3 linked regions of the Saccharomyces cerevisiae S288C genome follow. The protein of the gene in region 1 purifies or fractionates together with the protein of each later gene. This does not show direct contact. Each region holds a gene or a part of one and is shown on either strand. Other genes may lie near its edges.

What was found.
Region 2: the proteins of CDC27 (region 1) and MND2 purify together in Saccharomyces cerevisiae (affinity purification with mass spectrometry; 5 studies listed by BioGRID, with this or other methods). This does not show direct contact.
Region 3: the proteins of CDC27 (region 1) and APC2 purify together in Saccharomyces cerevisiae (affinity purification with mass spectrometry; 9 studies listed by BioGRID, with this or other methods). This does not show direct contact.

Annotation. Positions count from the first base shown.
Region 1 is NC_001134.8:67,811-71,569, forward strand, and holds the start of CDC27 (anaphase promoting complex subunit CDC27), read right to left. Parts: upstream 1,636-3,759; coding exon 1-1,635. Other genes in the region: ALG3 (dolichyl-P-Man:Man(5)GlcNAc(2)-PP-dolichol alpha-1,3-mannosyltransferase), read right to left, coding at 1,941-3,317. UniProt on the Saccharomyces cerevisiae protein: Component of the anaphase promoting complex/cyclosome (APC/C), a cell cycle-regulated E3 ubiquitin-protein ligase complex that controls progression through mitosis and the G1 phase of the cell cycle.
Region 2 is NC_001141.2:401,500-405,258, reverse strand, and holds MND2 (Mnd2p), read right to left. Parts: upstream 1,601-3,759; coding exon 494-1,600; downstream 1-493. Other genes in the region: tyrosine protein phosphatase YVH1, read left to right, coding at 1-386; INA22 (Ina22p), read left to right, coding at 1,768-2,418; DAL81 (Dal81p), read right to left, coding at 2,570-3,759. UniProt on the Saccharomyces cerevisiae protein: Component of the anaphase promoting complex/cyclosome (APC/C), a cell cycle-regulated E3 ubiquitin-protein ligase complex that controls progression through mitosis and the G1 phase of the cell cycle.
Region 3 is NC_001144.5:396,164-399,922, forward strand, and holds the start of APC2 (anaphase promoting complex subunit 2), read right to left. Parts: upstream 2,157-3,759; coding exon 1-2,156. Other genes in the region: NEDD8 ligase DCN1, read left to right, coding at 2,367-2,369, 2,464-3,270; snoRNA-binding rRNA-processing protein DIP2, read left to right, coding at 3,494-3,759.

The sequences.
Region 1 (3,759 bases):
ACAACACCATGTTTCGGGCTTATTAGGCATTGTATCCATTAGCCCATTTGCCAAATTTGAAGATTTAACCTTGTCATGCAAATGCCACAGCAAAGTAGAAAAAATTTCCATATCTTTTACCCTTGCCGGTTGTAGGTCTTTCAATCTATTGAAATACTTTAAGGACATATCATAATTAATGATCTCAAAATGAAGTTTTCCTAATTGCACTAGACACCATGGCATTGTGTCTTTAATATGAGATGGGATTTGAGACTCGAACAGTCTTATTGCCTTGAACGAATTGTATTGTGATGACGACCTTAATATTAAAGCGAAATTATACATGATTTCAGGCAGCGTAATTGAATAATCACTCGTTAGTATTGAGTTACTGATTATTAAAGACCTTGGATTTTTCTTGGAAGTTGTTAACCTTCCTGTTGAGGAATATAGGTTTCTTGGAGTTTTGAAAGTTGTTTTATTTATAATGTTATTATTATTATTATTATTATTATTATTATTATTATTATTATTATTATTATTATTATTATTATTGTTATTTTGGTGGTTCCTATCGTTATTTAACAGTTTCGATGGAGGAGTCGTTAAAAGTTTGTTTCTGTTATAAACTTTGGCCAACGAGCTTATTGTAGGCTGTTTGGAGGATGGAGACACTAAGTTCATGGAAATGTTATTTGGTAGCGCAGAAGACGTCTTACTGTTGATTGCAGGGTTTTTAGGAGTTTGAGTATTTTTGTTCTGGCAGGTCCTTATTGATGTGTTCGCTTGTTGCTGCTGTGACCTTGAGAAATGCTGAATGGAAGAAAAAGAAGATGCCGATGTAGAAGGGGGAGAATTAGACGACTGAAACAGTGTATTAACATTATTATTGATATTATTATTGCCGTTTTTGTTTGTTTTTGAATATAAGCTAGGTTGTGAACGAGGTTCGAAATGCGATAGTGATGTAGACGGAAACGATGAAGCTGCATTATTATTATGACTATTACTTTTTTTCCCTGCAATGTCGAAAAAAACCCTCTTGAGATCCACGGTAGCTCTCATTTTACAAATCGCTTCGTAAGATTCCCAAAGGTAAGGATTAATGGCTAATGCTTCAGAATGATAAAATGCTCCCTCCTTAGAATGGTCCAGTTTCATATAAAGATTGCCTAACAGGCAATTCAAAGTGGCCAAATCGGGAATATGGACGAGATTAGAATTCAACACCATATTTATGCGCGTATTACTGCTGTTCGAAGAAAATACATTTATTATTGAGAGAAGAGTGAGGATAGCTTCGTTAACTCCCTGCGAAAGCTGTAAAGCACAACGCCCGAATATGTAAGCGATACCAAGATGATACTCCTTGAATTCTTTGGATATCTGGAACGCAGTGTGGTAGCTTTTATTCAGAAACAGCGAAAGTGCATATAAATATACCGCATCGGACCAGTAAACACTTGATTTATCGAGAATGGAGCATTCAGCATAGAGCAGTTCGGCCAAAAACTCTGCGGTACTGTAGTTCAACTGCTGAATAGCCTGCTGAATGCAGTCCTGAAGCTGTATGATGGTGCTCAAAGCTTGATCATCAAAGCTGGGGATTCCTCTCGAGAGGGTGAACGGTGCTAACTCAGGATTTACCGCCATGCTATTTTTATTATGTATCCTGCACGAAAAGTTCGTGTCGATTTATGAATAGATATGCAGTCACCAAAACAGAGTCTAAAACTCTCACAGCTAGGTATGGTTTTTTGATAAACTTTTCTGTGGCACCTTTGCTTGCACTTTGATCCTTTTGGTTTACTTTCAGCCTGTTCCATCCTTTTGATCAAAAAAAAAAAGGAAAATCAAGCGCGGGTAATAACGGCACCATTAAATACTAGTAGTACTATATAGATGGTATAAAGAAATGATTTAAAACAATACGATTATATGATATTTATACATCTGTTTCAGTTGAGCTTTTTTTCCATAGAGCTGGTGGTACGAAGATGGCTTTTGGCGAGGGCGACCGAACCAGATAGCTGCGTCAAGGCCAATAGAAGCAACAGAACAGTATTCAATGCCAACAATAGCGTGCTTGCTTGTGAGTTTGGTGGATAGGAATTCCAGCACCACTCGTGCAAGACGTACCAAATGGGACCAACGAAGAAGGGCATTCCCGACCAAAAGATCAGTATAGGCAAAGTCCAGTGATACCAGGATAGAAACTGGTAGTGGAGGGACCTTGAAAATAGGACGCCGATGAAGTTGGATGCGATTAGAACGAATGGAATAGTCTTGGCGGGATTGGCATTGAGCACTGCATTTTTCCTCAGCGGATGGCACAGGGAAGACCATAAATCGGGCAGGATGCGAGGGTATCTTGTGACGAACAGTGTGGTGAGCGCTATCAGGTGGCTGATTAAAAGGGCCAAGTGGAACCTCTTATCATTGAAAGCCTCTTCATCCATCATTTGCCAATTGATACTCCATTGGTACATAAACTTCCTGCCGAAATTAAAAGCGCAATGCAGGTACTGTTGCGGAAAGCTGCGCAGGAAGGGCACTGCAACTGCGACTTGCCATGCAATCATCGCAACGAGATCCAACAAAGTAAGGATTACGTTCGCGTCATTAAGGATGAATAGAGAAATCATCATTGCAGGGAAATACAACAGCGCATTCATCTTAATGCTCACAGCCATACTGTATGTTGCGGAGATCACCAGCGCAAGGGACTTCTTTAATTTGGGGCGCTGATGGCACCTGCTGGCCACGATAGCCCCCAAAACCGTGACGACCATAAACAAAGTAGTGAAGCAATCATTGAATAACCGTAGCACGTAAATAGAGTGCAATCTTTTAGAGAGGCACGCCAAGACCACACACCACGGTGGTAGATGTAAAAGGTAGTAACACGCCATTTGTAACGCCAGTGTAAGGAGATACAAGTATCTGAAAAACACTTGCCCGCGCTCAACGTGGTCCATTCCCTCTGTTAGCCAGTACATCATCTTGTAGATCAAGACGTGGCCTGCTGGATACACCAGCGGGCCCGTTCCACCACTCACCTGAGAGTAGTCCAGCATGCCATCGAGCTGAATCATCTCGATCTGCTCCATGTACGCCTTGTAATCGATCTCTGTGTAAGCTACCTTCTTAATGATAATCTTGCACAGCATGCTTTCGAACAAAATCAAAAGGGGCATAACGATAAGATTGGCCCTACAATCGAAGATCACGTAGCGCACACCGTCCTTGAGATCCTGCCACAGATCCAGCGGAGGTCTGACAAATTGCTTCCTTTGCAGAGACTTTTCACCTTGCGGAGACTGTTCACCTTCCATACTACTAGTATCTAACTCTTTCTCTCTCCCATACACACTCTATGATACTGTTTTCACTCCCAACTAGTGTACTGCGTTGTTCTTTAAGTTCGATAGCGAAATTTCTTTAGCTTGTTTACAGCACCCAGCAACCGCACACAGAATGTGACGGCAAATGCATTTTACATGGAAGGCTATCTACAAAACAGCAATAAAGAGTCATGTAAGATTGGGAAATCTCTAATGTGACATTCCATACTTGTTGCAACAATTTTGGGATGCTTCTGCGTCGTACGACCCTGTATTTACCTTCTCTAGCTCATCGCTTCCCAGGGTCCACGTTAATTTTTCAATTTTTTCTTGCGTGTCGAAGATTCAGGTCTCGAGAAATTTGTCAAAAATTTTTCACTAGATATTAAGAACTATATACATCGAATAAGATGCCAGCACAGAAGAGATAGGC
Region 2 (3,759 bases), on another chromosome or scaffold:
CCAAATTGGCGTTATCTACATCTTTCATCGCGCATGACCCACCAAGTAAGGAATCATCAGAGGGACACTTCATCAAGAGGGCCGCCAACTCCCATCGTATTATTGATATTCAAGAGTCACAAGCAAATTGCTCTCATTTTTTCATCGAACCTTTAAAATGGATGCAACCTGAACTACAAGGCAAGCAAGAGTTAGAAGGGAAGTTTTCATGTCCAGGCTGTTCAAGTAAAGTTGGCGGTTACAACTGGAAAGGATCTAGGTGCAGTTGTGGTAAGTGGGTCATCCCCGCTATCCACCTGCAAACTAGTAAAGTGGATCAATTTCCCTTACAATCCACTGCTTTGCCCAACATGGTTAATTTTGAATCCGAGAAAGTAAATAGATAACTTAGATATAATCAGCAAATATAACTACCACTAAGCACTTTTGGTGCACTTGTGTATGTATACATCTTAATAGATAGATGAATTTTGGTGCTGAGGAGAGCATTTTTCTAATCTTGACCTCGTTGCTGCCTGGCTCGTCTCTCCATTAATTCATCTAAACTAGTTATCCTCTCCCTAGTCCAATTCCTCCAATTACTCGCTAGATCAGGTGTAATCCCACCATAAGAAGTCGGCTCTTGGCTGTATTCGCTATTATAATCATGCTCTCTTCCCACGTCATCTTCAAAATCCGGATTCATGTCCAGTTCTACCTTTGAATCTTCTCCGTCGTTATCACTGTCAATATCATATGGGTTTCTATCTAAATGATGAGCCTCTTCCACAAACTGTTGTAGGGAGCGTGACAGTGAAGTGGGTCTCATTAATAAGTCATCCGGCACAATTCTCTCTCTCTGAACTTCTATACCTTCCACACCTTCCCCCGGCACTTCTCCCTCCTCATTATCATCCTCATCTACAACATGATCGAACTCTGCATCATAATCGTATGATATTTCATCCTCCTCTGATACTTCCTCATTTTGCGAATTATTAGCACTGTTATTCGCAAGTATGGCCATACTGTCATTTGGCATGCTATGCAATCCTGTAACACCCTCACCAGTATCATATTCTTCATTTTCCTGTAGAATATGAGGCAGTATCACGCGTCCTATAGAGCCATTGTTTCTTGGATCCTCTTCTCTAGAATCGTGCTGCCTGAAGTCTTCCTCATTGTTCCCTTCCGCGTTTTGAGCTCGTGCTCGAGACCTTAGCATTTCTAATTCGTACATAGTTTTATTAATGCCTATTGGTTTGAATCTATTCCATCCTAGCTTGCGTATTTTGGGTAATCTACTTTTGTATTGTTCTGACAGCATTAGAAATTCGTCTAATTTGCCGTCTAGTAACTGACTGGCTGACGTAGGATAGTAAGGAAATTCATTGAACACATTATACGCTGACAATGATGGAATGTATTTCACAACTCTGGATTTCTTCCTTCTTATAAATCTGTCAAGCGAATCATCTTCATAATCATCTATGCCATTTACATGCTGGTTCTTCTTACTTCGGAGATCTCTCATGTTATATCTCTCATGCTTGGCTCCTGCCGAATTTTGATCCTTTCTTATATCATTGAATAATGATATATCCCTCAACGCTCTTGCCATTGCTTTGTCTTCTCTTCGCCGCTGTTTATGGTTGTCGGTATTCTGATGTGGCGTAGCACAGTTGAACTATTTTACGCATCCTCTAATTTACATCTTATGTGATATAATGAGCAGGGAAAAAGTAACAACAAGGAAAGACAAGTCATACGTAAAAGGTGTAAGGAAAAATGTTTATGGCAAGACAAGTGTTAAGAAATGGTCTATTTTTAAGGAGCCTTGCTCCCATAAAGATAACCGCTAGAACTGTTGCATCAGCAAATGCGGGCATTAAGAGAAAGTCAAGATTTGATAAAACAATGATCAAACCTTTACTTTTGGTAATGATATTTGGGTCGATATTAAACGCAGTAATAGCCGAGAAAAGGAACATTATTGATATGGAAAGGAAATATAAGCTAAAACTTGATAAATTGAAAGAGCTGATACGGAGGGTTCATGATAATAATGGAAAGGTAGACTTCGACGCAGATGATGAATTGAAACTTGTGAATTTGCGTTTAGGAATCGTCGGCAAGAACGCAACTGGGATGAAGGAAGATGAGACTGATATTGTGGTTCCTAAGGAAGAGTCATTGGAAGAGATCTGGCAAAGTATAATAGACGAGGCAAAAAAAGAAGTAATCGAAAAAACTCCAGATGCTGGCGTTAAGAACAAAGAAGGGATTGTCACTGATTTGAATGTTCTAAAAGATTTAGAAAAGTCGAAAAAAGAAGATGAAAAGGTTTACCTAAGTGGTGATGTCCATATGATGATGAACCAACCAGGTGATTTGAATGAAATCGCCAAAGAACATGATAAAATCCCAAAATTTCTATAGTAGGCTCTATGCATCCGGATATACCACATGTAAATATAACGCAAGCGAATAAATAATTTTACATTCACCACTCAGTAACCTTGGTCCTGCAGAAGATATTTCTATATAGTTATTACCGTATTCCATTTTTACTTATGTGCTATTATTTATATTACAGAGGGGTTTCCCTTGTGTTAATTGTTACATTTTTATCATCATTCATTTTTATAGTTTGGTTACCAGTTGCGCTTGTTTCCTGGTTCGAGTTTGGATTATCGTCCTTGAGTTCCGTTGATGATTCCTCGTTGGCGGTTCTTTCTCTTCCTGCTGTTTTTTCATCTGCAGCGTCACCTGACTCTTGTCTGGTTTCGTTAATTGAGGTCAAGGGAGAAGCATTCATTTGTGTATTAGAGTTGACATTTGTGCTGGAATTGACTCTTGGTGAAGATGTATTAGAGGGGGGGTGTCTGCTCATATGAGAGGGCGTAACATTTGGTGAAGATTGTGAAGTTTTTTTAGAAGACTTATTTGGCGCAAATGGTAAAGGCGTGTTGTTGCTATTATTATTAGCACTATTTATGGCTGGACTTCCCTGCGATTCTAGTTGTGTTTGTCTGGAAGTGGGGTTTACTGGCGTTGTTGTACTGGTCGTACCGTTGGGAAAGGAGTTTAGTTGTTGCAAGATTTCCTGGGGCAAATTCTTCCACTGGTTTAAAGGAGATCCTTGCTCGGTCATGGCAGGTGATCCCACGTTAAATTGTATTGGGATTTGCGATTGTACACCTGACCTTTGTGGGTTAACGGAATTGATGTTAGAGTTAGGGCTCACGACCACCGGTTCATCGGTCAGAAGACCAGGAATTTGTGCAAATAGTAAATGCATATTATTCAAAGCATTCGATAGTTTATCAAAGTATTTGGAACCTATCTTCAATACCCAGGTATAATTTCTAACATAATCTCTGAAAATCATAGCCTCTTCCTTCGTAGCTGAAGTCACATACAGCAGGGCAGCAAATGTTCCAATTAGCATCAGATTTCCAGTTGAGCAGTTATACCAAAAAGCATTAATATGTTCGTTTTTTAGATCTCTTATAAATTCAATTGCTGCTACAAGCCTGGTTCTTGCAGCAGTCCTGCATACTTGAACCAGTTCCTTTGGAGTTTGAGGATTCAAGGCACAGATAATTTTCCTATGTAACGTAATTTCCGTGGCAAAATAAGCTAGAGTTAAAGTTGAATTTGAGTTCAATTTTTGTGGCGTGGCATAACTCATTGACAAATTCTTGGGTAGGGAATGGTACCATTCTCTTAATTTCAGTTGCAACGGCTTTGCCAGTTTCAATACCTGTTCAATGCTTT
Region 3 (3,759 bases), on another chromosome or scaffold:
AAATGAGTTAGCCTGGGAGGAGCAATATTTAGTGACTCAGAAAGCTGCTCTAGTGATAAACAAATTGGCTCATCATTTGGAGAATCAAACTGATTTATTACGCTGCATTGTTCTAAAGAAACGTCTAACACTAATTTCCTACCATCTTTGAAAGCTAATTGTATTTCTACTTTTCCTTTATCTTTGCATAGTTGTAACTTGCGCCCAGGTTTCAGCTGTGAGTATATATCAGAATACTTCTGTAGCTCCCTTTCTAAATCTATTGGTAAATGAAATGCAAGATCATTAGAACCTTGTGTATCGCAGTTGTACTTCCAGTAGAGGAGTGAGATAAATTTTGGAAATATTATGGGATCCAGTCCGGCTACTTCATGCATTTTACGGCAGAGCTCCTCGCTACATTTTATATCCCAAAGCATAACATCAATGCTATTCAAATTCGACTGGTCTGCATCTGCTGCAGGGGCTGTTGTTTCTAGGAGTCCTAATATACCGTTTGTTATATAATTGGAATGACTTGTTTCTGTGAATTTGACTATTTTTTCTCTTATTAATTTCAAACATCGGGTCCATTTTTCATCCAACGTATAAAATTTCAAAGTGAATAATCTGTCGGTTAAGAGATTTCGAAATTCTGATATGAAAAATTCTCTTGATTCAAATAGATCCAAAAGCACCTCAAACAAATTTGTCTTAATATAACTTGATTTGATGTTACCGGGAATCATGTCATTAGGCTCTGGTACCCAAGCTATATAATAATTGAGTATATGTTCGTATAGCATGGCGTGTCTTATTGGTAGGTCCTTGTTCAATTCCCTCTTTCCTTTCACCTTGAGGTTCCATAGAAAGGGGCTTTTTTTATTCTTGTCCCTTTTGGTGATGTTCGTATCTTGATTGATATCAGAATCGTGCAAAGTGTCTACAAGTGAGAGCAGTGCCTTCATATCTACATTGAAATTAATTTTCTCCTTTAGTTCTTCTTCAGGTAAGTCCAACATTGCGTATAACAATACATTTACTAAGTGCTTCCGCTCCTGAAAGTAAGGTTTAACAAACGTGGTTATTGAATGTAGGCATCTCCCTGTTGGATCCAGGACCAAAAATGCTTTGATAGTTTTAACATATCTCAACAAAGCGTCCACCGTAGTTACGCTGGGGTTTAGAATGTATTTCTTGAAATCAGACAAAAAAGTTGTTACAATATTTGTGTAGTCTTTAAAATCTTTCATAATTTTCCTCAATTCCAATAAAGTAACCTTTGAATCAGGATAAGCCAAAACGCATATATCAAAGATTTCATTCGTTCTTATCCTAAGAAAATTGGACTCAAAACAGTTGAAAACTGTAGTGGTCAGTTCGTGATCATCCTCTGGACAACCGACTAATTTAGAGAACTGAGACCAATATTGATTAATAAATTTGTTGAATGTTTCCATAATCATAAACCTTTTATTCCATACTCTACTCATGTTATCTTCACAAAATTTATTGATTTTGCTGTAAAGAGCATTGACTATCAATTCCGTAGAGGATAAGGAACCATTAGCAGATTTGAGCCATTGGATTAAATTGTCTGCCAGGTCGAAATCATCATCCATTATTAATTTGTCTAATCTTGTTCTTAAATTATTTTTGAACTTTATATTTCTATTCAACAGATAATGTCTTAAAGAATTAAGTTCAAGTGCCCAGTCGTTTACATTTACGTCAAAAATAGGAACGTAACGTAAAGGAAACTCGTAATAATTTTCCCATCGTTGGATATCTTTTAGATAATTAATGTTGTTAAAATGTAAGAAAAAATGATAACGAACCTGGAAAATATAAAACTCTTTGAGCGTGGAAAAAAGTTGTAGTTGTAACTCTTTGTTTGTATTTCCCTCATTAACTATTGAATTGTTTGCCTGACTAGTGTTTATCATGCTATATGGCGATGTGGTTGCGTTATTAGGGAAGAGAACCTTAATGATATTCTTAATACGAAGGCTTGGAGGACGTAGTTGATGGTTACTCTTGGCATCATTAGGGCTCATCCATGTAAGTAAAGAGTTCAAATCATCGACTATGTTTGTGTGAAAGATGTATGAGGAAAGTGTTTGTAACTCATCTGTAATAACTTTCAAATCTCGAGTTGGGGTAATCTGAAATGACATGATGGAAAAACCTTAACTATAAGCCATAAATATTTACAGTCCCGCTAAGTCTGGCTTTCGTCTAGTTTTCGATATTTTGGCTCTTTTGTCTATTACTGTTTTTGTAACCAAAGGTTTGAAAATTTAGATGCAACTAATGAACTTACGCAGTAACATGCAAGTACCCAATAAAAAAAGAAATTTTTGAAGAGACGTTCTTGCATTCAGGACATGGTATGTTTTTAATTTCGTTTCTTTAGTTCTCAGGCTCTTCAAAGTACTAACACTTTATTGGCAAGGGGCGCTCAAATGTGATGCATCATTATAGAGTAATAATAAAATAAAAAGAAAGGATGCAAGCCCGGAACAAGAGGCAATTGAATCATTCACCTCATTAACCAAATGTGACCCCAAGGTATCCAGGAAGTACCTGCAGCGTAATCACTGGAACATCAATTACGCTCTCAATGATTATTATGACAAGGAAATAGGGACGTTTACTGACGAGGTTTCAACTGTGGCTCATCCACCCGTATACCCGAAGGAGCTAACACAGGTATTTGAACACTATATCAATAACAACTTGTTTGATATAGACTCACTGGTCAAGTTCATTGAGGAGCTAGGCTACAATCTTGAAGATTTAGCGACATTATGCTTAGCCCATTTACTGGGGTACAAGAAACTAGAAGAACCCTTAAAACGAGAGGACTTCCTGTCAACATGGTTTATGCAAGGCTGTTCCACCATTTCAGACATGCAAGAGTGCATCAAGACGTTAGATGTTAAATTACATGAAGACTTACAATATTTCACACAGATTTATAACTATGCTTTCAATTTGATTCTGGACCCAAATCGAAAGGATATAGATACAGACGAAGGCATCCAGTATTGGAAGCTATTTTTCCAACCAGAGTACCCAGTGCGTATGGAACCAGATTTGCTTGAGGCATGGTTCCGTTTCCTTCGCGATGAGGGGAAAACCACTATAAGTAAAGACACCTGGCGTATGCTGCTCCTCTTTTTCAAACGATACCCCACTATTCAGAAAATAATAAGCGATTACGACGAAACTGCAGCCTGGCCATTTATTATCGATGAGTTCTATGAGTGCTTACAGGATCAGCAATAAACATCCTTTCATATACTTAAGGGTATGCTGTTTAATATTGCATGGAATACGTTACCCTTCTAAGATAGATGGGAATAAGGCGGAAATAAAAAACGCGATGAGCAGTGGAAAATTTTTCAGAAATTTTCAGTTCCCTCATAATATAGATGTAGATATTGTATAAGGTCGTACGTATATCAGAGTAGCCACTAGAAGGACCAGAGAAACTGGAATAAGAGCTATTATGGTCAAATCATACCAACGTTTTGAGCAAGCAGCTGCTTTTGGTGTAATAGCCTCCAATGCCAATTGTGTTTGGATACCTGCGTCATCCGGAAATAGTAATGGTAGTGGACCAGGACAATTGATTACGAGTGCTCTCGAGGACGTTAATATATGGGATATTAAGACCGGGGATTTGGTCAGTAAATTATCCGATGGCTTACCTCCAGGCGCATCTGATGCTAGAGGCGCCAAGCCAGCCGAGTGTACATATTTGGAGGCTCATAA